Oryzias latipes: one gene and its partners. The protein of the gene in region 1 interacts with the protein of each later gene in a pairwise test. Links are inferred from orthologs where the notes say so. Each region holds a gene or a part of one and is shown on either strand. Other genes may lie near its edges. The genes, in order: creb3l1, slc35b4, FXYD domain-containing ion transport regulator 6, 5'-AMP-activated protein kinase subunit beta-2, fam3c, tmem11 and mfsd5.

Region 1 (2,975 bases):
GCCTCTCAACTTCACCGTTCTGACTCAGCGCCCAGCTCATTGTTCCCCTCTGTGAGGTGGTTTGGTTTTCATGATGAAAGCTGCTGCTCGCCTAATGACAGGCCTCAGACCCCTCTACCCCTCCACACCCGTCTAACCAGCAACCCCCCCACTCCCGGGATAATAGCAGATCATATAGTTATAATAACAGAGGGGGTGACACAGCCGTCCACGCTCAGTTCGATCTGCGTTCTGAGGAAAAGCGCGACCCTCACCTGTTGGCCGTCTCCAGGTTTTCCACTTTTCTCCACAGGTCGCCGTTCTCTGACGTGTAGCTCTCCACCCTGAAGGAGGCAGACATCGTCCTTCAGCATCTCTGTTAAAGTCTGACCAACCCAAAACAGGGGCTCGACTTTTCCAAACAGAGGCATCTCAAAGGAAACAGGAAATGTTTCACCTCCGTTTTTCTTATGGGACACTTTTTAAAAAAATGTCACACTGTGGATTTAAATACCACAAATATGTCATTTAGGTCGACTTGAATGCAGTCTAACATGGAATAAAAGGAGAAAACAAACAAAGAAAATGCTTCAAACGACTTGTGCCGTGTTACATAAAGTGTGTAAATAAATAATTCAAAGGAGAATAAAAGGACGATCTGCTTCATGATTGTTTTCTTCATATTAAATTACTTAAAGATGCTCAACAGCTACATATTTTTAACAAACGAGAGCTGATTCAGATCCATTCTTAACCTCCGCTTGACGTTTGTCCCGAAAGCTTTAATGTGGTGACCAGACGACAGCTGGGATGGAGTCCAGCGACCCCCGTGACCCTGTACCAGAAATTATACGACATACCCTTATCCACAAGTGTTCAGGACTATAAAAGATAAAATAAAAGAAGGAAAAAACCTAACTGTTATGGTCTCCATTTTTTTGGGGGGGGGGGTTCTGTACGGTTTTACTTATTGTTTGTGTTCTAATAAAACTGCTGCTGCTGCAGGCATAATCTTTGTTATAAGTTTTTTTTAATAAAGCTTTCAAAATGAACCTCTGCCTATTTTGTTATTTGGTAACTGTTCTTCCGGATTTAAACTTTGATGTTATCGTTATTCAGAGTGAAATAACATCTAAACTTGTTGCATCTCCTTCATTAGAGGCTGCAGTTGAAGCAGATCGCCACTAGGTGGCTCTGCTCTTTATTGCATCGATCCCAAATCTTACTTTTCGACTCATTATCATTAGTCTTTTTTTATTGATAAATTATATACTAATATTTTTGTACCAAACAGCATATGAAAAGTGTAGACAATGAAAGTTATTTAATGTACTTTTTAAAGAATCCTAATACAGGCTATAAAAACAAACAGCATTTCGGGGGGGGAAAGAGACGAAAACATTCTAATTTAATTTTAATAACTTATAACAATCGCTGTCAAAAGTTTAACATTTTACTTCGACTCACCTAAAATGTTTTCAAATATACGTCAGAGCGATCCTTTCCCAATTTTTCAATTTAGCTGCTAATATTAGCGGAGCTTTCCTCCGGATTCCGCGCGGCGTAAACTCCGACATCTGATTGGCTGTTGTGATCATGTGACACGGATGCAAACACTCTGGATGAAATAAACGCCTTTTTTCTCTGTTTTTATGGGGTACAGCCACTTCTAAAATAAATAGTCTGTTGTTTGTATTTCTTTGACAGTTTCTCTTTTTTAAATTAATTTATTTTAAAAAAATGTTGTGTTTCTTGACCCCGCCACGTTTTTCATGAACTTCCTGTGTGATCCTAGCAATTAAAGCTTGGAAAGAATTTATTTCTGTTGGGATTTATAAAACCACAAGTCTACACTAAAATTATTTCTTGGCGAATGTTTTTAAATAATTGAAAAATAGTCTCGGAGTGCTAGTTGGACTATAAATATTTTGGCAGGTATTTCTTTAGTGCAGAGACACAATGTGATTACAAAGCAGATAAAAATGTTTGTGTGCGTTTCGATTGATTCCTAAAAGAAAGCTGCTCCGTCACTGAGGTTTTAGTTCAGATTAAAGTGGCATTTTAAGTGTAAAATCTTCAGGATTAGGATTATTGTTACTCTGAAAGGAATGTTAATCCATGTTTAGATTTCCTTTTCATGACGCTCCATGTGTTCAGCAGACTCCTGGAACCAGGTCAAAGTGAATAAAAAAGTTTTTTGCTCTTCATGAGTCTGGTAGGTCTAAAAAGGCGACTGATGATGATGATGAAGAAATCTTCGTTCAGTTAGGGCGCTCAAACATTCGTGACCACGCCGGCCTCCAGCTCCGCCCCCCAGCAGAGCCGTACTGTCATTCCGCGCCACGGTTAGGAAACCTCCAAACACAAAAGCTGGCCCTGAAGTGAGCGTTTGCTGCCAGCTCCACTTCAGCATTACACAACTGGATCTGCTGAAGGTTTTTCCATATTCTTCAGCGATAAATAATAAAAATCTAGAGAGGGAAAACCTCGGTCTGTAAACGGATGATCCCAAAGGAAGCTCAGAGGAGATGTGAATCTCCCAAACACCTTCTGACCTCACAGATGCAACAACTGGGCGTCCACAGACCGAATTAACCAACAAATGTTTCTGAAAAATCAAAAGCCTTACTTTTTCTCCAGACAGTCCACATACTCCTTCTTCTTCCTCCGACTTTCCTGAGCTGAGATCTGAACAAAAACATGTGATTTGTCACCAAAAAGGAACTTTGTAAGATGGAATTTTTTTTCTTTCAATTAGTTTGCCTTGTTTTTAATCTTCCGCCGGACTCTCTTCAGCGCCTTCTCCTCGCTCTTGGTGAGGGGAAGCTTGTTGGGGACGGGGTACCCCTCTGCCACCAGCGTTCTCTTCTCCTCCTCTGTGAGCATGAGCGGCCCCGAGCCCTGCAGCTTCTGAAGAACACAACGGAACAATAAAAAACTCCATGAAATCATTTTCAAACCAAACTTTTATCACCAAAATGAAAGCTGTAACTCTT
Region 2 (2,163 bases), on another chromosome or scaffold:
CTATAACGTGAGTTTTCCCTTCCACCATCGAGGTAACAATGACCACACAACTTTATTCAGGAGAAATCTGCATTTCTGTTTGCAGCACTGCCTGCCCCTGCCGGGGTTCCTGCTTCTTTCTACAGACATCTACAACTATTGCAACCATTTTAGCCAGAGCAGTGAGTGTTTTGAGCCGTTCAGATGAGCTTTTGGTTTGGACTATATCAGATGTAATTGGTGGTGATTGTTTCCTGACAGCTCCTGTACTCGTTCCTGTGGTGGGACTGACCGTACCAATCATGTGGATCTACCTTCTAATCAACGTTATCACACAGTATCCGTCAGAAAAACAAAAAAAGTACTTTTTTCAACCTTGTTTGTATACCTTACTGAAGTTGAAATGTTCATCCTATTTATTATTTATTTAGGCGTCTGTAAGTACACGCAGTAAAACATTTTCTTTGAAGTTGCCGTATATGTATAGGTAATGCAAATAATAATAATTTCACTTACCGGTATGTATTTTTGGTTGATAGAGTATTTCTGCCCCAACTAAAACGTCCTAAGAACAAAGTCACTTTAAATAAAGTTTTTGTCTTCACTTCATCTAAAAAAAAAAAAAAAACTTATTTAAAGATACATAGATGTATGTATTTTGTAGTTTGTTGCCTCTTAATTTTCTTTAAAAACAACTTAATTTTAGATTGGGGGAAAATATTTCAATCTTTAAACATCATGACGGCTTTCTCTTAAGAGTTCTATTAATTTTTTATCGTCAGCTCTTTATTTTAAATTAAAGACCCCGCGCTAGACAAACATAATGACATACAATCTTTGCATATTTTCCATCCTTTTTTCTCCTTCCGTATGACTGCTAAAGACTTTAACCGTTTCTCCAGATATGTCTGTATTCGGGGAGTTTTTGTCTTGACCACAGAGTGCACGTCGCTGACGGTCACCTTAGTGGTGACGCTACGAAAGTTCCTCAGCCTCATTTTCTCCATCATTTACTTCCAAAACCCCTTCACTGCGTGGCACTGGTTGGGCACGTTCGTGGTCTTTGTGGGGACTCTGCTTTACACCGAGGTGCTGAGCAGCATCCAGGCAGCTCTCCGGGGAACCGGAACGAAGAAGGCGGAGTAATACAGCAAGCCTGGAGGATGGGAAAATGTTCCCCATGTTGGGCTTTTTAATACACCCACAGCTATTTTTATAAAATTAGTTATTTTGCTGTGGTTCTTCAATCAAGTCAGTCAAAAGGTTTCACTAAAAACAAATTGTCATATTTTCCATTTATAAATATGGATTGAATCATGTTTGTAGTTTTCATAATTCTGAACGTGTTAGGATGTTCTTTGTGTGGTCGACACTCCAACTCAAAAAGTACATAAGTATCTGTAAATTATGTATTATTTCATTTGCAAAAGGATTTCTTGACCTTTACTGTGCCTCTGTAACCTTATAAAAATAGATGTGCTCAAGTATGTGTTGTTTAGCTCTGTGTCTGATATGAAAGAGGTGGACAGTTTGTCCTGAGTCCAAATCTTAAAAAAAGTTTTTAAATGACTGTGTGCAATATGGATTTCACCAAACCAACTGTATAAACAATTTCAGCCATGTTTGTTGTTTTTCTGTCTGAGCGTTCCCAATAGTCTTTTAATTATGATCATGCTGTTTTTAGTCAAAATTTAAATAAAAAAACTGTAATTTACATAGTTTCTGGAGAGAAGTAGCAGTTTGTTGCAAATTTGTCCCAAAGTTGTGAGCAGGGGCGTTGGTGAAGAGCAACCCTGCTCCCCTTTACACAATCTCCCACTGGCTTACAGCCATTCATACCCACAACCTAACTTTATCGGTGCAATGAAATGGCAAGCAATATCAGAGCTATCCAGCCGTACATTTTTGTGCCAGATACCAGCACGGACAGGACAAAGACGTACATGGACCTATTTGTCTGCAAGTGGATGCATCAGTATGGAGCAGAGCACAGAGCTTTTGGACCCCCCAGCACATTTTCTACATAAAAAATATGATCTTTTTTAAGCCGTATTTGTTGGACTGCACCTGGTTGAATTTATACAATGCCAATATTCTTTTTAAATGTTGGTGTGTTTAGTTTATATAACAATTCAGCTTTTTTTTATATACTTATTTGCTTAACTTCCTGTCATCCCAACTAAT
Region 3 (3,500 bases), on another chromosome or scaffold:
TAACCCTCCTGTTATGTTCATTTGTGAGGAACAGAGATGATGTTCCTGGGTCAATAGGATGTATGAGGTATGTTAAGTGTTAAGAGTATGTTAAATGACTCAGAGAATCAGCAAACTTTTTTTACAGTAAGATCTTGAAGGCTAAAAACACAATATTCTATTTTCCAATGATTTTATAGATTCAGAAATGCAATAAAAATGACAACTGTTTCTACAAATACAGGATGAAAACAGAGTATTAGTTGGCCAATGATGCTTCATGAAAGGAATAAATAAATAAGTCTGAGAAAGAATTACTGTGAAATTATGAGATAAACAGTCTGCTATGATTGTGTCATATGAGGTTGTGCAAGTTATTAGTTCTTGGTCTCAGATTTTGTCAAATAAATTTCCCGTCAAAATGCGACTTATAGTCCAGTGCGACTTATCTGTGTTTTTTTCTACTATATAATGCATTTTTGGGCTGGTGCGACTTATAGTCCGGAAAATACGGTATATATTCATTTTCTGTCAAAATCAAAGTATGTTTTCTGTTCTGTTATTTCTTTCTTTTTGCGAGGCGGATTTCCAAAAAAAACTCTGTTTCTGCTCCTGCCTCTTGTCAAATTTTACAACCCTTTGTGGCTCATGAATAAAAAATGTTGCTCAGCCATGTTTTACAACAATCAAGTTTCATAAAAAAAGTTAAATTCAAATATATTTAGGTGAATGTCTTTCGTTTAGCTATCTGTAAAATATAAATACACAAAGACAAAATAAAAAAAAAGCTTTCTTCGGGTGCAAGAAGTAAACACATACCAACTATAGGACATTCAAATGATGAGTTGCTGTTGTCATTGGAAGATACACTTCTAGATTTTCACGACTCATATGCCCTTCCAGCAGTTGCTGGTAAGAACTGGTAAATCTTAAGTTATTTAGACAAATATTTTCTATAGAATAAACACAGCTGATCTGCTTAACAATTGTTGAGAGCAAATTGACAAAGCTTCTGACTAGATCTGTAAAGATAGAAAACAAACAGTCTGAGCAGATTCAGTAAGCCTAAAATAAAACACATCAAACTGTAAACTTGTAAAAAGAGTATCTAATTAAAAAAATGGGGGAAAAAAAATCATATTTGAAACCTCAAAAAAAAAGGAAAATGTTTTCAACATAAAAAGCTACAGTTAAATCCTGAGCCGTACTGATGGAATTAGAGAAACATGGAAAGCAAGCTAGTGAAGAACACGAAAAACTAAATAAGACAAATATGCATTACACATACATTACACTCTGGAAACATGTGCTGGCCGAAATAAAGGAATTCTAAACTGAAACAAAAATAATTATGGAATAAAATAGAGCAGAATAGAAAATATAAAAAATGATAAAGTAAATGCTTGTTAATATGTCTGAAATCAATATTAAATGATGAATTGTGCATGGGCAAGCATCACATCTGATGTGAAAAACAGCAACTGTCTGACTACTGGCAAAGAAATGGACACTCAATGCATATTATAACTGGTCTTACCAAACTATAAAAGCTCCTCATTGAATAAAAATGATGGTTAGAAAATGGGAAAATGATGGAAATCCAAAACTCTTAATGTTAAAAAGATTCTTAAAATCACTTTCAGAGCAAAATCCCCTTTTTGGATATCATTTTGTACTTTTTTATGTACAGAAAAAACCCTGAAATAACACCTAAAGTAGAAAAATTCCAGGGACTTTTCTGAAGTTGGGCCATAGGTCTGTTTTGTTGTTTATTATTAGGCCAAAAATTTCTTTTTCTTTTCTAAAGTCTTATCTTTCTGATTATTTTGTGCCAACAGTTGTCATGGAAATGGCTTTGCTCTTCTTCTCTTCACTCCTGGTGTGCGTGTCAGGTAAGTGCCCATAATCATAAAACACATGCATAGTGCTGCCTCCCTTTTCACCCGTTGTCCACTAGAGGGCAGTTGTTCCTTTATAGGAAATTTGTGCCTCATTGCAAAAAAATTACAGATTTGAGCTCAAAAATACTAATTATTACACTGTTTAGTAAAACTAAATATGCATGACAATAAAGTTGTGTGATGGAAAAAGTGTATATTTGTGTGATCCCTGTTAATAAAGATAGTATAAAAACATAATTTTTCTACAACCATCACATTTCTTTACAATCTGTTTTTGTGTCCCAGCTGTTGCTGACTCAAGTGAAAATGGTGAGTTTTCTGTATTTAGTCTCTAACAGATTTCTAAACAACAGTAAAAAGTTGCATGTTTTGTCCAAAATTGAAAAAGCAGAACAAGAGCAAGATTTATTTTAATGGAATGGCAGCATCCTAATCAATCTAAAAAAAGATGTTAACAATTGTTCAAACATTTCTGTCTAGTCCAGGATGCGCCTGCATACTAAGTCCAGGATGCGCCTGCATACTAGATGTTGCAAATAGAGTACCAAAAATATATACTTATAAAGTAATTATTTGATTCTGCAGGAAATTCACAAAAGTTCACTTTTATTGTACTGTAATTACTGTCTGCTGTTGCAGATAGAAAGTAATTTCAATGAAGCACTTCCTTACAGAACCCTGTATTTGATCTGGACTGTGGACTGGCACAGAGAGACCCAGACTTGGACCCACTTTTGGCTAAATAGTTTGGGAGTGCGAATGGTCTTGCCCTAGGACCCACACTGGATGAAGCTCTGGATATTGAACCCACATTTCCCATGTGCCAGTCCTCAAGTCACTATTCTATTCTATTCTATTCTATATTATTCTATTCTATTCTATTCTATTCTATTCTATTCTATTCTATTCTATTCTATATTATTCTATTCTATTCTATTCTATTCTATTCTATTCTATTCTATTCTATTCTATTCTATTCTATTCTATTCTATTCTATTCTATTCTTCCTAAAACATTATAGTCATATGTAAAACAGAAGGTCCGTTAACTATTTCTGTGAGGGATTAATAGTTGTGGAGAACACAAATGCAAGAGGGCGTCTTGTCAGCGGCAACTTTGATAAATAAATCAGCCTAAACAATTCAAAATAAAATTGAACTAAAACAATAAAACTAAACATTGAACCCGTAACACCATAGATTCTTTTCTGTTACATTTTTATCAATTGGTATAGGTATGTTATGATCTTAAAAAAACGTACTTAGTAGTACGTTTGTAATTCATATAGAGATAAAACAAAGAAGTGCAACAATGTTAGCAAATACTTTAAATGCATTTTACCTAATCAAAATCACAAAGAAATTATGAAAATATTGATCAAAAATCAACTTTCTAATTCTACTGGTTTCTGTAAATTATTTTTCCCTACAGACAACAAAAAGATTGTTGATAACCCTTTTATTTACGGTAAGTAAAAAATGAACCAAAAAATGAAAGCGACCATCAACCATGCGACTTCAACTAGAAGTGTGTTTCTTCCCTCTGCTTTTTTCTTTTTTTGCATTTCTTGTTCATAGACTATGAAAGTTTGAGAATTGGAGGACTGGCCTTTGCTGTGGT
Region 4 (2,980 bases), on another chromosome or scaffold:
TTTGCAGCCGGTGGTAACCAGCCAGCTGGGAACGATCAACAACCTGATCCAGGTGAAGAAGTCTGACTTTGAGGTGTTTGACGCGCTGCAGGTGGACTCCCTGGAGTGCTCGGACACATCAGGTGCGTCTCCTGTGATAGATCTTGTTCTCTTGCTGCTCGCCTAAATAGATTGGTACATTTTCGGCCTTGAACACATCTTCATGTCTCCAGACTTGTCCAGCTCGCCTCCAGGTCCGTACGGACAAGAGCAGTACATCTTCAGACCCGAAAAGCACTTCAAAGCCCCTCCGATTCTCCCCCCTCACCTGCTTCAAGTCATTCTTAACAAGGACACCAACATATCAGTCAGTGTTTTACGTTTTCTCAGTGATTCATCCTTTTACTGTCAATTCCGTCTGCTTCCATGTTGCTGTTGTTTCTCTGAACAATAATCTTTGTGTTTTTTTTTGGTCTCTGCACTTCAGTGTGACCCTGCTCTGCTGCCTGAACCCAACCACGTCATGCTAAATCACCTTTACGCTCTCTCAATAAAGGTACATTCACTGTTACAATGTTGCTTTTAGACAGAATTTTCCATTTAAATTGGAAAATATATATATATTTTTTATCTGCCTCTTTGCCTCATCTTTTTAGTTTTCCTCAGTGTCGCTGAGTTGAATTTTGATCGTGACAGTTTTGGTTCTAGTTTGTCTTCATTTAATTAGCCCTGGACTGCAAGGACCTGATTGTTTTTACAGTTCTTCTTTCTTACTGCATGTTTTGGTGAAAATGTCACCCCTGCCACATTCTCAAAAACTCCCCAAACTTTGCACACGACACCTCCACCTCCAAAAAATGATGACATGACAGCAGGCGAAACTGTCAAAAAATGAAAGGAGGCAAAAAAAAAAAATCAACAAAACCAAAACACACGAGTCGGGGCTATCCAAAGGAAGTTTTGAAATTATTATTGGATGGCCACAGAACCATGAGGAGTATGAAATTAGGCGTTTTAAGTCTGCTACCCAAACCAAAGTGTTGTTGACCTTTGACCTTGAAAAGAGGCAGCTTTTTTATATTTTCCACAAAAAAATGGGCGGACGATGCAGTTTTAACTTTGTATTATTTTTGCAATTTCTTTTCTTCCAGAGTTGCAGCTCTTGAACCCTTTTGTTTTTTTTTTTCTTCTGTGTAGGATGGAGTGATGGTGCTAAGTGCTACTCACAGATACAAGAAGAAGTATGTCACCTCTCTGCTGTACAAACCCATCTAACCCGTCTTCAGATGCTCAGAGAGAGCAGCGTGTTCGTTTTCTTTTCAGTTTGCCATCACTTATAGACAGGAGTTGCACTGAAACATGTTTACAGGCTGCTCCAAAGAAAGCCGCACTTCTACACAGGGCTCTGAACAACGGTACAGGGTGTGGGGTTTTGGTAAAAGAAGACAACTCTACTACGGCTTTAGCTGGTGACATCTCCTTGCCGATGAGCCTGATTAAATCACTGCGTGGTGTTTGTATGTTTTCACATTTGATTGTGTGATTGTAGTTTTTAGATGACAGTAAACGGTCTGTTTTTTTTGTTGTTTCTGCTGCGTTTGCGTTGTTACTTTTTTTATGTCGCTCGCTGAATGTAAACAGAACGACAGGTGACCTTTTGTTAAGGTGAAGTGCAATAGTGGGTCATGAAATCATCTGTGAATTCTGTTTGAGCCAAAGGCTTGTATTCCTGTTTTTGTTTTGGCAGCCGTGATGCCCAGCTTAGTCCAGAGCTACAGTTGTAGCCATTTCTTTTTCTTTTTCACTAGTAGCTCTTTTTTTTCCACACAGGAAGTGGTCTAAAGTCTTTGCTTAGCTGCTGCTTTTATTCTGATGAATGTTTGTAAGCATTATCGTTGATACAAGCTATAACTATGCAGTAAGTAGCCTTTGCATTGTATTGTCTTCCATCTAATTAGTGTGTTCTCACATTTGTCTGCTTTGTTAAAGAAAAACTATCGTACTGTATCTGTGTGTTACACGTGTGGAGCTGCTTAAAGGTCTGTCTGCGCTCACATTTCAGTTTCATAGATGTTGTGAATACATTGATGTTGAGAAATGAAGAGAACCTAGGAGAGCTTTGATGATGACTGGTTGCCATTTATTTAAATTTTATATGTAAGACACACCCGTGTTTTGGTTCTGAGCTGCTGGTTCCTGCGTATGAATGCTCACAACTCTTCAAACATCAAGGAGAATCTCTCGGAGGTATGTTAGAGTATTCTGTGAATGTTAAGCCGGGCTTTTATTTTCTAAAAGCTCGGCTTTATTTTTTAAAACTAAGATTTGATAAAGGAGTTTGGAAAAGAGCCATGGATCCAGGGCTTTTAGGGCTAAAACCAAAACTTGAATTTTGCAGCTATACTTGATAAATCTATGAAAATGCTTAGCATAAACAATGTGGTAATCCTCTATAGAAGATTGTACTGTACTGCAAATAAATACACTACTCTGATCCTAATGCCACTCTCTTGGTCATTTCTTTTTCAATGAAACAGATTTTCCAAATGGTTGTTTCTAAAGTGCAGCTCTGGTAAAGGGTTTGTGGAAGTGATGGTCTTTTGTGGCATGTACTTCCCTGAATTAATGCTCAAACTTTGTTTAGCAACAATGCAACTAGTTAAAATCTAAAAGATTGAAACTTAAATCAATGAGAAATGAAACGAGAAAACAACTTTTTCAACTGTTTTATTCTCTCAAAGGCCTTGATTTCTAAGACAACACACCAAAATTAGCATTCATGTGTCTTGCATCAGCTCTCGCAGCCTAAAAAGCTTTATATACATATGCAACTTCAAACCAATCAAACATTTCAAATGGTTTTCTTCCCTTTATTTTTATTTTTTAGAAACAAATAGTAAAAAGTTTTTGTTTGTATTTAACAAGGTGACATTTCTCTGTCATTCAGAAGCTGGCTTTTTAGTTTTAGAAGTCACCACATAATGTAACGTTAATTGATTCA
Region 5 (4,108 bases), on another chromosome or scaffold:
TATTACTGAGCTTGTGGCTTAAGTGTGCAAACGGATGATTCTTTCCATAGGATCTTACAGGATTTCACAGGATCAGTGACGCACAGCTCCATTTCCCTGACATGATGAACGCTCATCGTTAAAACCCTCTGCACTAAAAACTAACCGCAAGCCACGCTTTCTTGGAAACGTCCCACCACTTTCATGGAAGCCCCTTTGTGTCAAGTTTTTATTTTTTAATTAATTAAATATTAATGTTATTCATTTTTATTTATTAAGCACAGTTCTCAAGTTTCTTTTGTCTCTCTTTGATTGCTGTATTGGTTTGTTATTGTTTTGTAAGTTTGTGAAAATGAAAAGAAATCTGAAAAATCTTTAAAAACAAGCTGCATTAAAAATCTTGTTGTTTGTTCATTTGGTTATATTTGTCTAAGCTATATTTTTTGTTTTGTAATATTTTTTATCAAATGTTCACAGGATTTCTTAGTAACACATGAAAAAAAAGTTTTATGAAGTAAGGTACTTTTCTTATGCAGTTTCTCAGTTTAACATTTTTCTAAATTTGAACATCTTTTTAATACTTTTTTAACATATATTTTTTATAAAACATCTTTTGTTTAAAATATATCCGCATGGGGAAAAATTCGGTGACAATCATAGGTGGGGGGGGGGGGGGCAATCACTGCACTGTATGTCTCAAAGCTGACCACTAGAGGAGCTACCTCTGTTTCGAAATGACCTTTCAAACAGAAAATACATAGGGAAGAAGAAGCAAAACTCCGTTAAGGATCATATATAGATGTTTTCATGAAAGACGTTTCACTCGTGCAAAGGTCGCAAGACTGCTCAATTTCAAAGCTATTTTCTTAGGCGCATACGGTTAAATCAAAAAGTTAAATGGAGGAAGAATATGTTTCTTTATATAAATATGAACTATAAGTATGTTTGTAGGGAGTTTCCGGATATTTTGTACTTGTACTTAACAGGTAATCTCTAAAAACTTACAAAACAAAAAAAAAGCTTTGAAAAAAAAGCAGTACCCAGGCTTTTTTTAACCGTATTTTGCGATATTGCGTAAATATCTGGTTTATTTCATAGTGTTGAGTTTTTGGCATTTTCTATTTTTTAAACATCAAATTAATATTTTGTAAATAAATTAACAAGGATTTCAATAATGTGTACAGAACTAAATAAACAGACTCATATTTTGGGGGGCTTAAAAGGTAATGAGTTAAAAAAAGAAGCTCAGAAAAGAATCATCTGCGGCAGATGAATCAACCTGATGAAGAATCAACCTGTTTTGTTGTAGCGCGTGCACAGATGACTGCGCGTTATAGTTTTGCAACGGAGTGACACCTCAGGTGTTTGTTTCTCTCCATATCTCAGCTGTCAGGGCAGGAAAAGGAGAGTCTGCTCTGTCGGCGAACCAAGCTTATCAGGGAACGTGTAGTCTTCCGACAGACGGTAAGAAATATAATTGTAGTCTGTAATTCATAGATATGACCATTTTAAAGTTAGACGTTAAGCTGTCTGTGGCAGTTACTAGCGCGACGGCAGGCTAGCTGGGAAACGAATCTCAAAGCGTACGTCACTTTAGTGAGAATATGCTAGAAGTCATCATGCTAACAACTAGTTTATCGAGACAAGAGATAACAGTTAGCATTAGTTGCAGTTTATTTCTGTGTTCCGTCAACTTGGGTCCGATCAGCAACAATACATTTAGTGAACTAACGCATGTTTTTGTTTATTTTGTTTGTTTCTTAATACAGGCTCATAGGCTGGGGGAGAACTGTTACTGTCTGGAAACCCTTCAAGATGGTTAGACCCGGCGGTAAGATAGTTTAATGCGATATAAGTTATTAAAAAAAGACCTTTAGGCTAAACTGGCCTCTTTTCTTGCCTCTCCATAGGTATTTTGAAGGCCGTAACGCTGATCTCAGCCATCCTACTGGTTGCCTTCTTGGCTTTCCAGTTGCTGGAGATAAACGGGGATTTTAAATTTGGAAGTGTGATCTGTAAGTATCCGGGCTATCATTTCCTGATAGTTTTTTTCTTTTTACCCTTTAACAGAAAGAAGTCTGTCAACAGGACTGAATAATTTCACCTAGTTTTGTTCTTCTACTGTACAGAATGTAAAAATTTGCATGTACTCTGTATTTGGGAGAGATGGTAGGAACCGGTTTGTGTCACCAGAACTCCATTACCCACACTGCTTTAGGGGGAATCTGTTCATCGTGGACTTTTAAGTTATGCCATTGTTATTCCTTAAAAAAAAAAAACACTTTTATTTATAAAAAGCAGCTGCAAACACTTCATGTTTATGAAAAGGTGCTTAAAGTTCTGCTTTAGAAATGAATAGTCTATCCATTATTTCCATTAAACACTGAAAGGACTGAAGGTTTGGTTAATAATAAAATAATATTGAGTACTATGACATCTAAATTTGATGAAATAAAGATGTTTAGAAATCCAGAGCTTTTATGTAGCTCAGAAATGTGTCCTTACAAGAGAATAACTTATTTACACTTCTTTTATTTTTCCTTTTTCAGCGAGATCCCTGCCAATGATTGAAGGTTAATATTCCCTAATTATTCTCATTTTAATTTCAAACTTTAGGACGCTGCTTTTTTTTTTTAATTCAAAGCTAAGATTCAGAGCAAACATGATAATATTGATCACTATTGATTGAGTTTTTTTATTTGCAGCGGCAAAACCGGTCAAACACAAATGTGGGCTGTCCAAAGCGTGTCCTCCAGAACACTTTGCCTTCAAGATGGCGAGCGGTGCGGCCAGTGTCGTCGGGCCCAGGATGTGCCTAGAAGACAACTTGTAAGTGGAAAAAAGGCAACTTCCAGGCGATCCGTGGAGCCGTTGTCTCCAGATTTTGGTCAGAAGTTCTGCTCGAGTCATCGTTACCTGAAATCTTTGGTGAAAGGTTTACTTCTGACCGCTAACCTGAGTGTTTACTGCCTCAAGTTTCACTTTGGGTTTGCACTTTATACAAAATCTTGTTAATAATCTTGTTAAAGTGTGTGGCCAAATCGTTTTAAATCACTTCAAGTTTTGTCTTTTTCCTCAAAACCATATGGAAAATTAATTAAAATGAAGGTTTCAGGTTTCAACAGTAATGTTCTAAGGAAAAGCCTAAAAAAATGCTGTAAGTCAATAGTTGGTAAATATGTTCCTGGAATGAAGGAGAGCTGCCTTTTGTGTGGATGTTAATGTTTAGTGTCACTTTTCCATTGAGCCGTGTCTTAATGTGATATGACAAAAGCCGGTTCTTGAAAACACCGACCAGATTGTTTGAAGATTTTTTTTTTTAAGGTCTTGATCTTGTGTTTGCCAGGATCCAATCAATCCACAAGTTCTGCTTTTAGAGTTGTTTATTATTTAATGAAACCCTTTTTTAAAGAGTTGTTCCCTTACAAATTACACACAAATTCCAATTTAGCTGCACTTTTTCTTGAGAGGAGCACCAGGTTACACAGGCTTGTGTTCAAACGATCCTTGTGTAAAGAATGCCTTTTAAATGGGACATTGTGTCTCAGCAGCTGAAGGCGAAAGCGGCCAGACTTCTTTAATAGAGAATGATAGGCATGAGGTGAGATAGAAAAGTTCAAGATTGTACAAACGTGTCTGAAATGCCATGCTCACATCTATTATCACTGTAAACAAGGGAAGTCCTTTTAGAAAAATGCATCTTATTTATTGTGAAGAACCTCATTAAAAGTCACGTATTATTGTAATAATATAAATTTTTTTTTATGGAAATCAGTCGATGTAAAAATGTGTTAAATATAATTTAAAAAAAGGGGGATTTGAGTTTTTTTCTTAGTAACAAAAATAATTTTAGAGTCATTTCATAACGTCCTAAAGTGTCATCAATAGTAACTATCTTCAAAAACTATGTGCTGCTATTCACTTTCTAGCTAAAATGTGTTTAAGTGGTGGTGGTGAAGCTCCGCCTCCACAAACATCGGCCGAACAGGATGTGAGGCTAAATGTCAGCGTCCCTCCTTCTGGATCCCTTCAGGCTGCAGCCTCACGGTGGTTCTGCTCTTGTTTGCAGAATAATGAGCGGCGTGAAGAACAATGTGGGAAGAGGAATCAACATCGCCCTGATTGATGG
Region 6 (3,936 bases), on another chromosome or scaffold:
ACAAAATGAGGAAAAAATCCAGAAAATGACATTGAGCAATATTTAAAGAACTTGTTTGCTAATTATGGTGGAAAATAAGTTTTTGGTCACCTACAAACAAGTACGATTTCAGGCTCTCACAGACCTGTAACTTCTAACTAAGGAAGAGGATCCTTTGTCCTCCACTCATTACCTGTATTAATTTCACCAGTTTGAACTGGTTATCTATATAAAAGACTCTGTCCTCAAACAGAAACATTTCAAACTCCACTATGTCCAAGACCAAAGAGCTGTCTGAGGACACCAGAAACCATATTGTTGACCTGCACCAGGCTGGGAAGACTGAATTTGCAATAGGTAAGCAGCTGGTGTGAAGAAATCAACTGTGGGAGCAATTATTAGAAAATGAAAGACATGAAAGACCACTGACAATCTCCCTCTATCTGTGGCTTCCCGCAAGATCTCACACCGTGGGATCAAAATGATCACAAAAATGGTGAACTTAAATCCCAGAACCACACAGGGGGACCTAGTGAATGACCTGCAGAGAGCTGGGACCAAAGTTTCAAAGGCTACCATCATAGAAGTGTCCCCCTGCTAAAGCCAGTACATGTGCAGGTCCGTCTAGAGTTAGCTAGAGAGCATTTGGATGATCCAGAAAAGGATTGGGAGAATGTCTTATGGTCAGATGAAACCAAAATAGAACTTTTTGGTAAGAACTCTACTCATTGTGTTTGGAGGAGAAAGAATGCTGAGTTGCATCCAAAGAACACCATGGCTACTGTAAAGCATGGGGGTGGAAACATCATGCTTTGGGGCTGTTTTTCAGCAAAGGGACCAGGATGACTGATCCATGTAAAAGAAAGATGGAGCGGTTCTCCCACAAACATATTTTTATGCAACACATCTTCCAACATCATAATGTTTGCACCCATATATTGTCATATTGTAGATACATGGCAGCAAATGTGAATATGTATTCCAAAGGGTTGTTTTTTTCCTGTGATACACTTTATGATCAAAATAACAAATTATACAGTTTTATATAGTTTACAACACAAATCTGTGGTTTTTAGCTTGCAAATACTGTTTGAGTTGAAAACCTTTATGCGTTAAGTAGGCTGACTTGTAATTTATAGGACAGAGAACGTGTAAATCTTAAGCAATTGTAAATGTCTCGAGAACGTTTCACACACGCAATATTTACAAAAGAAATATTCCTGGTTTTGTGTGTGTTCAGAAGTGACGCATGCGTTATCCACCAGGCTGTAACGTTACTGTTCCTGGCACAGCGTCGATATTATCCAGAGGGCGTCAGGTTACAGCAGAGGCAGCTCGCATCGCCGCACCAACGGACAGAGGTACAATATGGGTAAGTCTGCAAAAATAGGAAAGCTAGACGGTGTAGAAATAAATAATATGATAAAGGAAATATCATAAACCTGCTTGCATCATCTTATATACATTTTACATTAAAATACGATCACGTTTTTATTTTTAACGGTTTTACAAATAAAGCAAACGTACCTTTAATATATATATATTTTTTAAGAAATAAATAAACTTGTAAAATGTGGTCTGACCTCCCGAATTTCAGTGTGCTATTACAAAATATACACAGTATAGACGCATTTAATGAAGCATCACGGGAGATGTAGTCCAATTAGACTAGTCTGTCATTAACTCGGAACTACTTACAAACAGCAATATCCAGAATGCTGTTCGCTTTCATACGTCAAAGGAAATCACAGTTGCATCCCCAACATGGCGTCGCTCGGAAGGAGGCGCGGTGTCCCAATAAGCAGGGAGAGGTCAGTTACTCCACATTTTACTGTTTAAGCAAGAATATTTTGGTGGGGTACATTTCTTTGTCGATGTCAAAGTTCATGGGTTTTCCGACATGCACATTGGCCAAGTTTAAAAGTCAAACGGCAGCGAAGAAAGTTATAATTTCAACCCCATTAGCTCTCGTTAGCTGGCTAACGTGAATTCTTAGCTAACGCTAAGGGAAACAAACTAGATGCTCATGTGATATTTTGATTACATTTAAGCCAGTCGCTTAACTTAGAAAAGAACTGCTGATCACTAAAAACTGTCACGAACACGCGTTATTGTTAATGCTCACATTTTTTCAGAAATGTAGGTCAAAGGCAATTGTGTGCTGTCGACCTGCTACAAAAAAACGATCTTGAACTGTTGCTGTTCTGTCTCTCAACTTTACACCACGCGAGCAAGTTAGCTCGTGTGCCGTACATCGCCATCCTAAAACTGAAATCATTGTCAAGTAGAACATCATTCTCTCCACTCCTCGACGACGCTGATGACATATGTGAGTCAACGAAGAAGATGATCCACCAAGACTAATTTTATTTTTTCAGATAAATTTTCGAAATACTGAATTTCAGGAGAGTTTTCCCCAAACAACTCACCTTAAACCCTGTTAAAGTTCTTCAATATGAATTTCCTAATGTTATATTGTAGCCAAAAGTGCGTTTTGGGGCACTACCTCCTGCATTTGCACACATTTTTCTAAAAATGTTTGCATTTACAAAAAGGCAAGTTTCCTAATTGAACTTTTGGTTGGGTCAGCAGTGCTTTGTAATTAATACAATTCAAAATTCAAGTGGTTTAAAATGAGAGAAATATGATCAATATTTATCCAATTAGCTGGCAAACACAGTCACATCCTTTAATGCTGTTCCACAATGAAAGGATTTGGATTTATCTGCTGAACTTCTGAACCTTGGATTCTTTTGAAAACTTTTAACTATGTTTTGGCATGTTAAGGAAAGCAGAATTAAGTGACTATTCATGCATAATTTTCTAAATACACTCTCTTTTGTTGGCCGCACAGACCTGGAAGAAAGGTTAGAACTATGGTTAGGTTAATACATGCGACCAACAGCAACATGCAGCCTTGGACGCACTTAAAATCAGTGCAGCAATGTGCATTTTTGCCGCATGTATTATGTGTGGCTGACATGAATTTCCATCAGTTTTTGAGTTTGCTCACACGTAAATACATGTGAATAACAAGCAGTAAATGGTCAAATGTAAGGCTAACAAGCTAAAGATAAAGCATGGTTCCCCAAGTTCCTACGCGATCATTTGATGTTTTTTCTTTCATATGCCAACTTACTTTAAGTTCAGCTAGACATAAAATACCAAACACACCCTTAAATGTCTTTGTTTTATTCTCTTGCAATGCTGCTTGCCTTTGATTGTTTATCACTTTTTCTCCTTTTTGTGTACAGGGGAGTAATGGCGGCGTCGGATTGCTACATAGTGCATGAGATCTACAATGGGGAGAATGCACAGGACCAGTTCGAGTATGAGCTTGAGCAAGCTCTGGAGGCCCAGTATAAATACATTGTTATTGAGCCCACGCGGATCGGAGATGAGACAGCCCGTTGGATTACGGTGGGAAACTGTCTGCACAAGACGGCAGTGTTATCAGGCTCTGCCTGCCTCCTGACACCGCTTTCACTGCCTGCTGAATACTCGCGGTATGTGGCGTTGCCCGCCGGCGCCCTCAGCGTGGCGTGCGCTGCCCTCTACGGGATATCGTGGCAGTTTGATCCTTGTTGCAAATACCAGGTGGAATACGACAGCCAAAAACTTTCGCGGCTGCCCCTGCACACGTTGACCTCCTCTACTCCGGTGGTGTTGGTACGCAGGGACGACGTCCACAGAAAGAGACTCCATAATACGATAGCACTGGCTGCCCTGGCATATTGTGCCAAGAAGATCTATGAACTCTATGCAGTATGAGTGCACCGAAGAAGATTTACGTACCAACAAAAAAAAAAGGAGAAAAACTAATTAGATAAAGAAAACAGAAGCTACCCCACCCCACCCCTCACTGTAAGAAAATGGAAGTGAAGACGGGAGCAAAGGTTAGCTCCTCTGGAATTGGTTTTTCCTGCGTTGGTCAGAGGGATATAGTTAAACTAGAAA
Region 7 (4,015 bases), on another chromosome or scaffold:
ACCCAGGGAAAGGAGGACGATCTACTCTGTGCCCAGGCAGGGGCTTCTGCATGTGTTCTCCTGCACCTAAGGTTCCTGGCCCTGTTTCAGGATAGTTGGTGTCAGATTGTCTGAGGGTGGTTGTCCCGTGATTTGCCTCTCTGTGAACAGGGGGCATCTGGAAGGCTCTGACTGGCATTCTCTGGGCTTTGAGTAAATGGTAGAGCTTCTTACCTTTCTTTCCACATTCCCATTACATAACATCATTGTACACAACACACCCACCTCAGCATCCCGCATGCTCACCCTTGCACAACATTTGCATGCACACAGGTATGACATTATGTGTTGCATGTGTCTCTGTGTGTGCGTGTATACAATCAATGTGCGTGAGTTCTTCTGTATGTCCAAAATATAAATGAGTTTGACATGTTTATGATGGTTTTTGCAGTTTTGTGTGCCGTTTGGGTGTGTGCTTGAGTATAAAAAGCCTTTGGTTAATCTGTGTTAGCAATAATGATAAACATTTAGCAATTTTTTATGCCTCTTTTTCTATCCCCATTTTTAGCGTTGCCTTGTTGTGAACAGCTCCCCCATACACACACACAAACACACGCACACCCACACACACACACACACACACACACCCACGCACACCCACACACACACACACACACACACACACACATACAACATACTATAACTCCTCTCTTTATTCCTCTATCCTTTTATATTCAGTCCAACACTTAAAACAAGTACAATATGCCTATATAAGAATTTATATATATACAGAAATACATATTAAACAGTACAGACCAAACTGTACTGTACTGTATATTAAATACAAATACACACCTTTTATATCCTAAAGATCAAAAATGGAACAGAAAAAACGTGAGAAAAGTGCATGAAGGTTTCTGAAACCGTTTAAAATTGTCACCAAGTAGTCTGAGTATACTTGAAAATTGCTATTTTATTCACATGGAATATGAAAGTTTCTATTTATAGAATCTGCATGCGTCTCAAACAAAAGCAAAACACACACAACTTTCCAGGAATAAATACTGTATTCCATTTCATCATTTCAATGTTTAAAATGATACGATAGAGGATATTATTAGTTATGTATTCAATGATTGCATCTCTAGGAAATGGGTGTTCACCGGCGTCAAGCACCTGCTCTCCAACCAAGCACCAACAGAACACCAAACAGAAGATCCACGGCTGCCCCCTGGTGGCGTAATAGTAGTAAGCACCAAATCCAGGAAGTGAATGTTTTAACGTGTGTACTGATTCTGCTTCCTTCTCGTTCAAAGCTGATGCTTGCAAGGGGACTTGCTTGATATGGGACGGCTGTCAAAAATCACGGTAGGACTGGTTACGTTGGAAAATGTTGTATTGGGATAGAAATCTAAAGATGGCGGTGCCACTCATTTAGTCAACTTATTTTGCACTAGCATGCAGCTAACGTTAGCTAATAGCAAACGGTCGGGGTTCACTACTTTCTTTCAATTTCTAAATTAATTAGCAGTGTTTAAGTTACCGAAATTGTCAGTGTTAAACTGTCATAGACAACTAAAGTAAAGGTTAGCTAATCCACATTTAATTATGCGCTGCATTGTATAATTAAAAATCTTGTTTTTTTTGGTGTTTTTAAAATGTGGCATTTTTCTCACGATGGACTACTAGTAGGATATGTAAGAAATTGAAGATTAAAGCTGTATTTCTGGGTATGTCTTTATTCAATTTGTTGTGAATCAAGAGCAGACGATAAAAATGCCGAAGCCTCTAGCTGTGACGTAGTTGATACTTTCGGGCCACAAGCTTCCTGCTCTGCTCAATTCTGATGCATCCCCTTATACGACCATGTACGTCTTGTTTTCTTCGTCTGGGCAGGCATCTGGCTCAAAAATGTACACCTGGATAGCTCAGATATTGCTCCGCATTTTTGTTGCACTGTTAGTGTTAGGTTATGGGTTGTAAACTACTTGGAGATGGTGTCAACACATGGATGACAGGAAGTGGGGGCAGGCTTACCCTGCGGCAACAGTCTTGCCCACAACTCGGAGGTGAATTTCTGATAAATTCCTGCTGATCTGCAGAAACTATGTCCTTAAAGAAGACAGGTTTTTTATTTTGACTAAAACATTATAATCAAAGTGAAAAGACCACCAGGAACGCTTTTAGAATAGATAAATATATGATTAAAGTGGGTCATAAAGACACATTCAAGTCTAATGTTTAATTTTCCCTTCCTGTAGGGGCTGAGGAGCAGACGGAATAGAATTGGAACCACATCAGTTTCCCTGTTTTAACCTCAAGCGGATGCAGTCTCTGCCACCATGCTGGTCACAGCTTATCTCGCCGTCATTTTCCTGCTCGCCCTGTGTGTTGGCCTGGAGCTGACAGCACGCCGCATCACACCGCCTGAGTCCACTCCATCAGCTGTGGCTAACCCAGCTTTCCGGCGTTTCCAGAAAATCTTCCTGAGGGCTTACCTTTTGGCTCTGTGGGCAGACTGGCTCCAGGGCCCCTATCTCTATAAACTCTATCGCCACTACAGCTTCCTGGAGTCCCAAATAGCCATTTTGTACGTGTGTGGCCTGGCTTCGTGTGTTTTGTTTGCTCCCTTCTCGGGCTGGCTACCTCAAGCCTTGGGCCGCAGACAAACCTGCCTTCTCTTCTGCCTGTGCTACTCTGCTTGCTGCCTCACAAAGCTTTCCAGAGACTACTTTGTTTTGATTGTGGGCCGTATTTTGGGGGGCCTGTCCACATCCCTGCTTGCTACCACATTTGAAGCCTGGTATGTGCACCAGCATGTAGAAGTCCAGGATTTTCCAAAGGAATGGATCCCCAGCACGTTCACCAGAGCTGCTACTTGGAATCACGGCCTTGCTGTGGGAGCTGGGTTGGTGGCCAACTTGCTGGCTGAGTGGCTCCACTTGGGCCCAGTGGCTCCATTTCTCCTGGCTGTCCCCTGCCTGGGCTGCTGTGGCTGGGTGGTGCTAACAGACTGGGGGAAGGAGGAAGCTGAAGGCTGTCCTGAAGGGGACAAAAAGACTCTACTACTTGGTACTCAAAATGGAGGTGGTCCCCGTTTAACTGCAAAAGGCAGGTTCTCGCGAAGCTGCCATGAAGGGCTGCGTTGTTTGCTGTCAGACAAAAGAGTTCTCCTTTTGGGTGGAGTACAAGCTCTGTTTGAAAGTGTTCTTTACATCTTTGTTTTTCTATGGACTCCAGTTCTAGACCCTCATGGGCCTCCTTTGGGAATAGTTTTCTCTTCCCTGATGGCTGCAAGTATGGTCGGCTCCTTGCTGTACCGCCTTGCCACTTCCACTCACTACCATCTGCAGCCTGGTCACGTGCTCTGCCTCGCTGTTCTGATGGCATTCTTCTCCTTTTTCATGCTAACCTTTTCTACTGCACCAGGACAGCCGAGACCACACGAATCTTTCTTGGCCTTCCTCCTGCTGGAGCTGGCCAGTGGTCTGTACTTCCCAGCAGTCAGCTTTCTGCAGGGCAGAGTGATTCCAGAGGAAAAGCGAGCCGGTGTGTTGGCCTGGTTCCGGTTGCCATTGCACCTGCTGGCCTGCCTGGGACTCCTGGCGCTCCACGGGGAAGTATCAGGAATGGGTGGAGGAGAAGGCGGGGGTGGCACTAGACATATGTTTGGAGGCTGTGCCGTCATGATGCTGGCAGCACTGATGGCTGTCGTGAGTCTTTTCACTCTGGGTAGAAACGATGCTGACCTGAGACTTGAAGGAACCAGAGGAGATGGGGAGATGTTTTAAGAACTGGAAACATTCAAAACCTGGACTCCACAGTTCAGAAGGGCACATTTTGATGATAAAACATAAAAGAAAATATGTTGGGTAAGTTCGTATTTTGCCAAAGAAGGAGATTGACAACCTCCTAAAAGGCTATAGGGTTAGTTTACATTTTATTTCACATCACTTGTTACCGTTTGGTTCTTTATTTAAGAAAAACTGTAAACACATGTAAAGCAAAATACTTGGGATTCAACCAGGAAACTGGA

The links.
Region 2: the proteins of creb3l1 (region 1) and slc35b4 interact in binary tests that used the Homo sapiens proteins (3 or more experiments, as listed by UniProt). The two-hybrid records come from large-scale screens. The link is inferred for Oryzias latipes from reciprocal best matches to the Homo sapiens genes CREB3L1 and SLC35B4.
Region 3: the proteins of creb3l1 (region 1) and FXYD domain-containing ion transport regulator 6 interact in binary tests that used the Homo sapiens proteins (3 or more experiments, as listed by UniProt). The two-hybrid records come from large-scale screens. The link is inferred for Oryzias latipes from reciprocal best matches to the Homo sapiens genes CREB3L1 and FXYD6.
Region 4: the proteins of creb3l1 (region 1) and 5'-AMP-activated protein kinase subunit beta-2 interact in binary tests that used the Homo sapiens proteins (3 or more experiments, as listed by UniProt). The link is inferred for Oryzias latipes from reciprocal best matches to the Homo sapiens genes CREB3L1 and PRKAB2.
Region 5: the proteins of creb3l1 (region 1) and fam3c interact in binary tests that used the Homo sapiens proteins (3 or more experiments, as listed by UniProt). The two-hybrid records come from large-scale screens. The link is inferred for Oryzias latipes from reciprocal best matches to the Homo sapiens genes CREB3L1 and FAM3C.
Region 6: the proteins of creb3l1 (region 1) and tmem11 interact in binary tests that used the Homo sapiens proteins (3 or more experiments, as listed by UniProt). The two-hybrid records come from large-scale screens. The link is inferred for Oryzias latipes from reciprocal best matches to the Homo sapiens genes CREB3L1 and TMEM11.
Region 7: the proteins of creb3l1 (region 1) and mfsd5 interact in binary tests that used the Homo sapiens proteins (3 or more experiments, as listed by UniProt). The two-hybrid records come from large-scale screens. The link is inferred for Oryzias latipes from reciprocal best matches to the Homo sapiens genes CREB3L1 and SLC61A1.

The regions. Positions count from the first base shown.
Region 1 is NC_019860.2:23,113,825-23,116,799, reverse strand, and holds part of creb3l1 (cyclic AMP-responsive element-binding protein 3-like protein 1), read right to left. Parts: intron 2,890-2,975; coding exon 2,743-2,889; intron 2,668-2,742; coding exon 2,609-2,667; intron 324-2,608; coding exon 255-323; intron 1-254.
Region 2 is NC_019864.2:13,508,418-13,510,580, forward strand, and holds the end of slc35b4 (UDP-xylose and UDP-N-acetylglucosamine transporter), read left to right. Parts: coding exon 1-7; intron 8-85; coding exon 86-161; intron 162-240; coding exon 241-316; intron 317-881; coding exon 882-1,125; 3' UTR 1,126-1,663; downstream 1,664-2,163. UniProt on the Homo sapiens protein: Antiporter that transports nucleotide sugars across the endoplasmic reticulum (ER) membrane in exchange for another nucleotide sugar.
Region 3 is NC_019871.2:15,102,223-15,105,722, reverse strand, and holds part of FXYD domain-containing ion transport regulator 6, read left to right. Parts: intron 1-1,817; 5' UTR 1,818-1,822; coding exon 1,823-1,871; intron 1,872-2,165; coding exon 2,166-2,189; intron 2,190-3,311; coding exon 3,312-3,347; intron 3,348-3,457; coding exon 3,458-3,500. UniProt on the Homo sapiens protein: Associates with and regulates the activity of the sodium/potassium-transporting ATPase (NKA) which catalyzes the hydrolysis of ATP coupled with the exchange of Na(+) and K(+) ions across the plasma membrane.
Region 4 is NC_019875.2:22,984,605-22,987,584, reverse strand, and holds the end of 5'-AMP-activated protein kinase subunit beta-2, read left to right. Parts: intron 1-7; coding exon 8-122; intron 123-212; coding exon 213-346; intron 347-466; coding exon 467-535; intron 536-1,176; coding exon 1,177-1,254; 3' UTR 1,255-2,480; downstream 2,481-2,980. UniProt on the Homo sapiens protein: Non-catalytic subunit of AMP-activated protein kinase (AMPK), an energy sensor protein kinase that plays a key role in regulating cellular energy metabolism.
Region 5 is NC_019881.2:16,839,307-16,843,414, forward strand, and holds the start of fam3c (protein FAM3C), read left to right. Parts: upstream 1-1,308; 5' UTR 1,309-1,443; intron 1,444-1,517; exon of another isoform or gene 1,518-1,562; intron 1,563-1,748; 5' UTR 1,749-1,794; coding exon 1,795-1,810; intron 1,811-1,889; coding exon 1,890-1,994; intron 1,995-2,528; coding exon 2,529-2,552; intron 2,553-2,684; coding exon 2,685-2,808; intron 2,809-4,048; coding exon 4,049-4,107; intron 4,108-4,108. Other genes in the region: sortilin-like, read left to right, coding at 51-105. UniProt on the Homo sapiens protein: May be involved in retinal laminar formation. Promotes epithelial to mesenchymal transition.
Region 6 is NC_019866.2:14,557,044-14,560,979, forward strand, and holds the start of tmem11 (transmembrane protein 11, mitochondrial), read left to right. Parts: upstream 1-1,136; 5' UTR 1,137-1,151; coding exon 1,152-1,351; intron 1,352-1,685; exon of another isoform or gene 1,686-1,743; coding exon of another isoform or gene 1,744-1,790; intron 1,791-3,233; coding exon 3,234-3,750; 3' UTR 3,751-3,936. UniProt on the Homo sapiens protein: Plays a role in mitochondrial morphogenesis.
Region 7 is NC_019865.2:12,565,901-12,569,915, reverse strand, and holds the start of mfsd5 (molybdate-anion transporter), read left to right. Parts: upstream 1-1,215; 5' UTR 1,216-1,347; intron 1,348-2,240; 5' UTR 2,241-2,321; coding exon 2,322-3,770; 3' UTR 3,771-4,015. UniProt on the Homo sapiens protein: Mediates high-affinity intracellular uptake of the rare oligo-element molybdenum.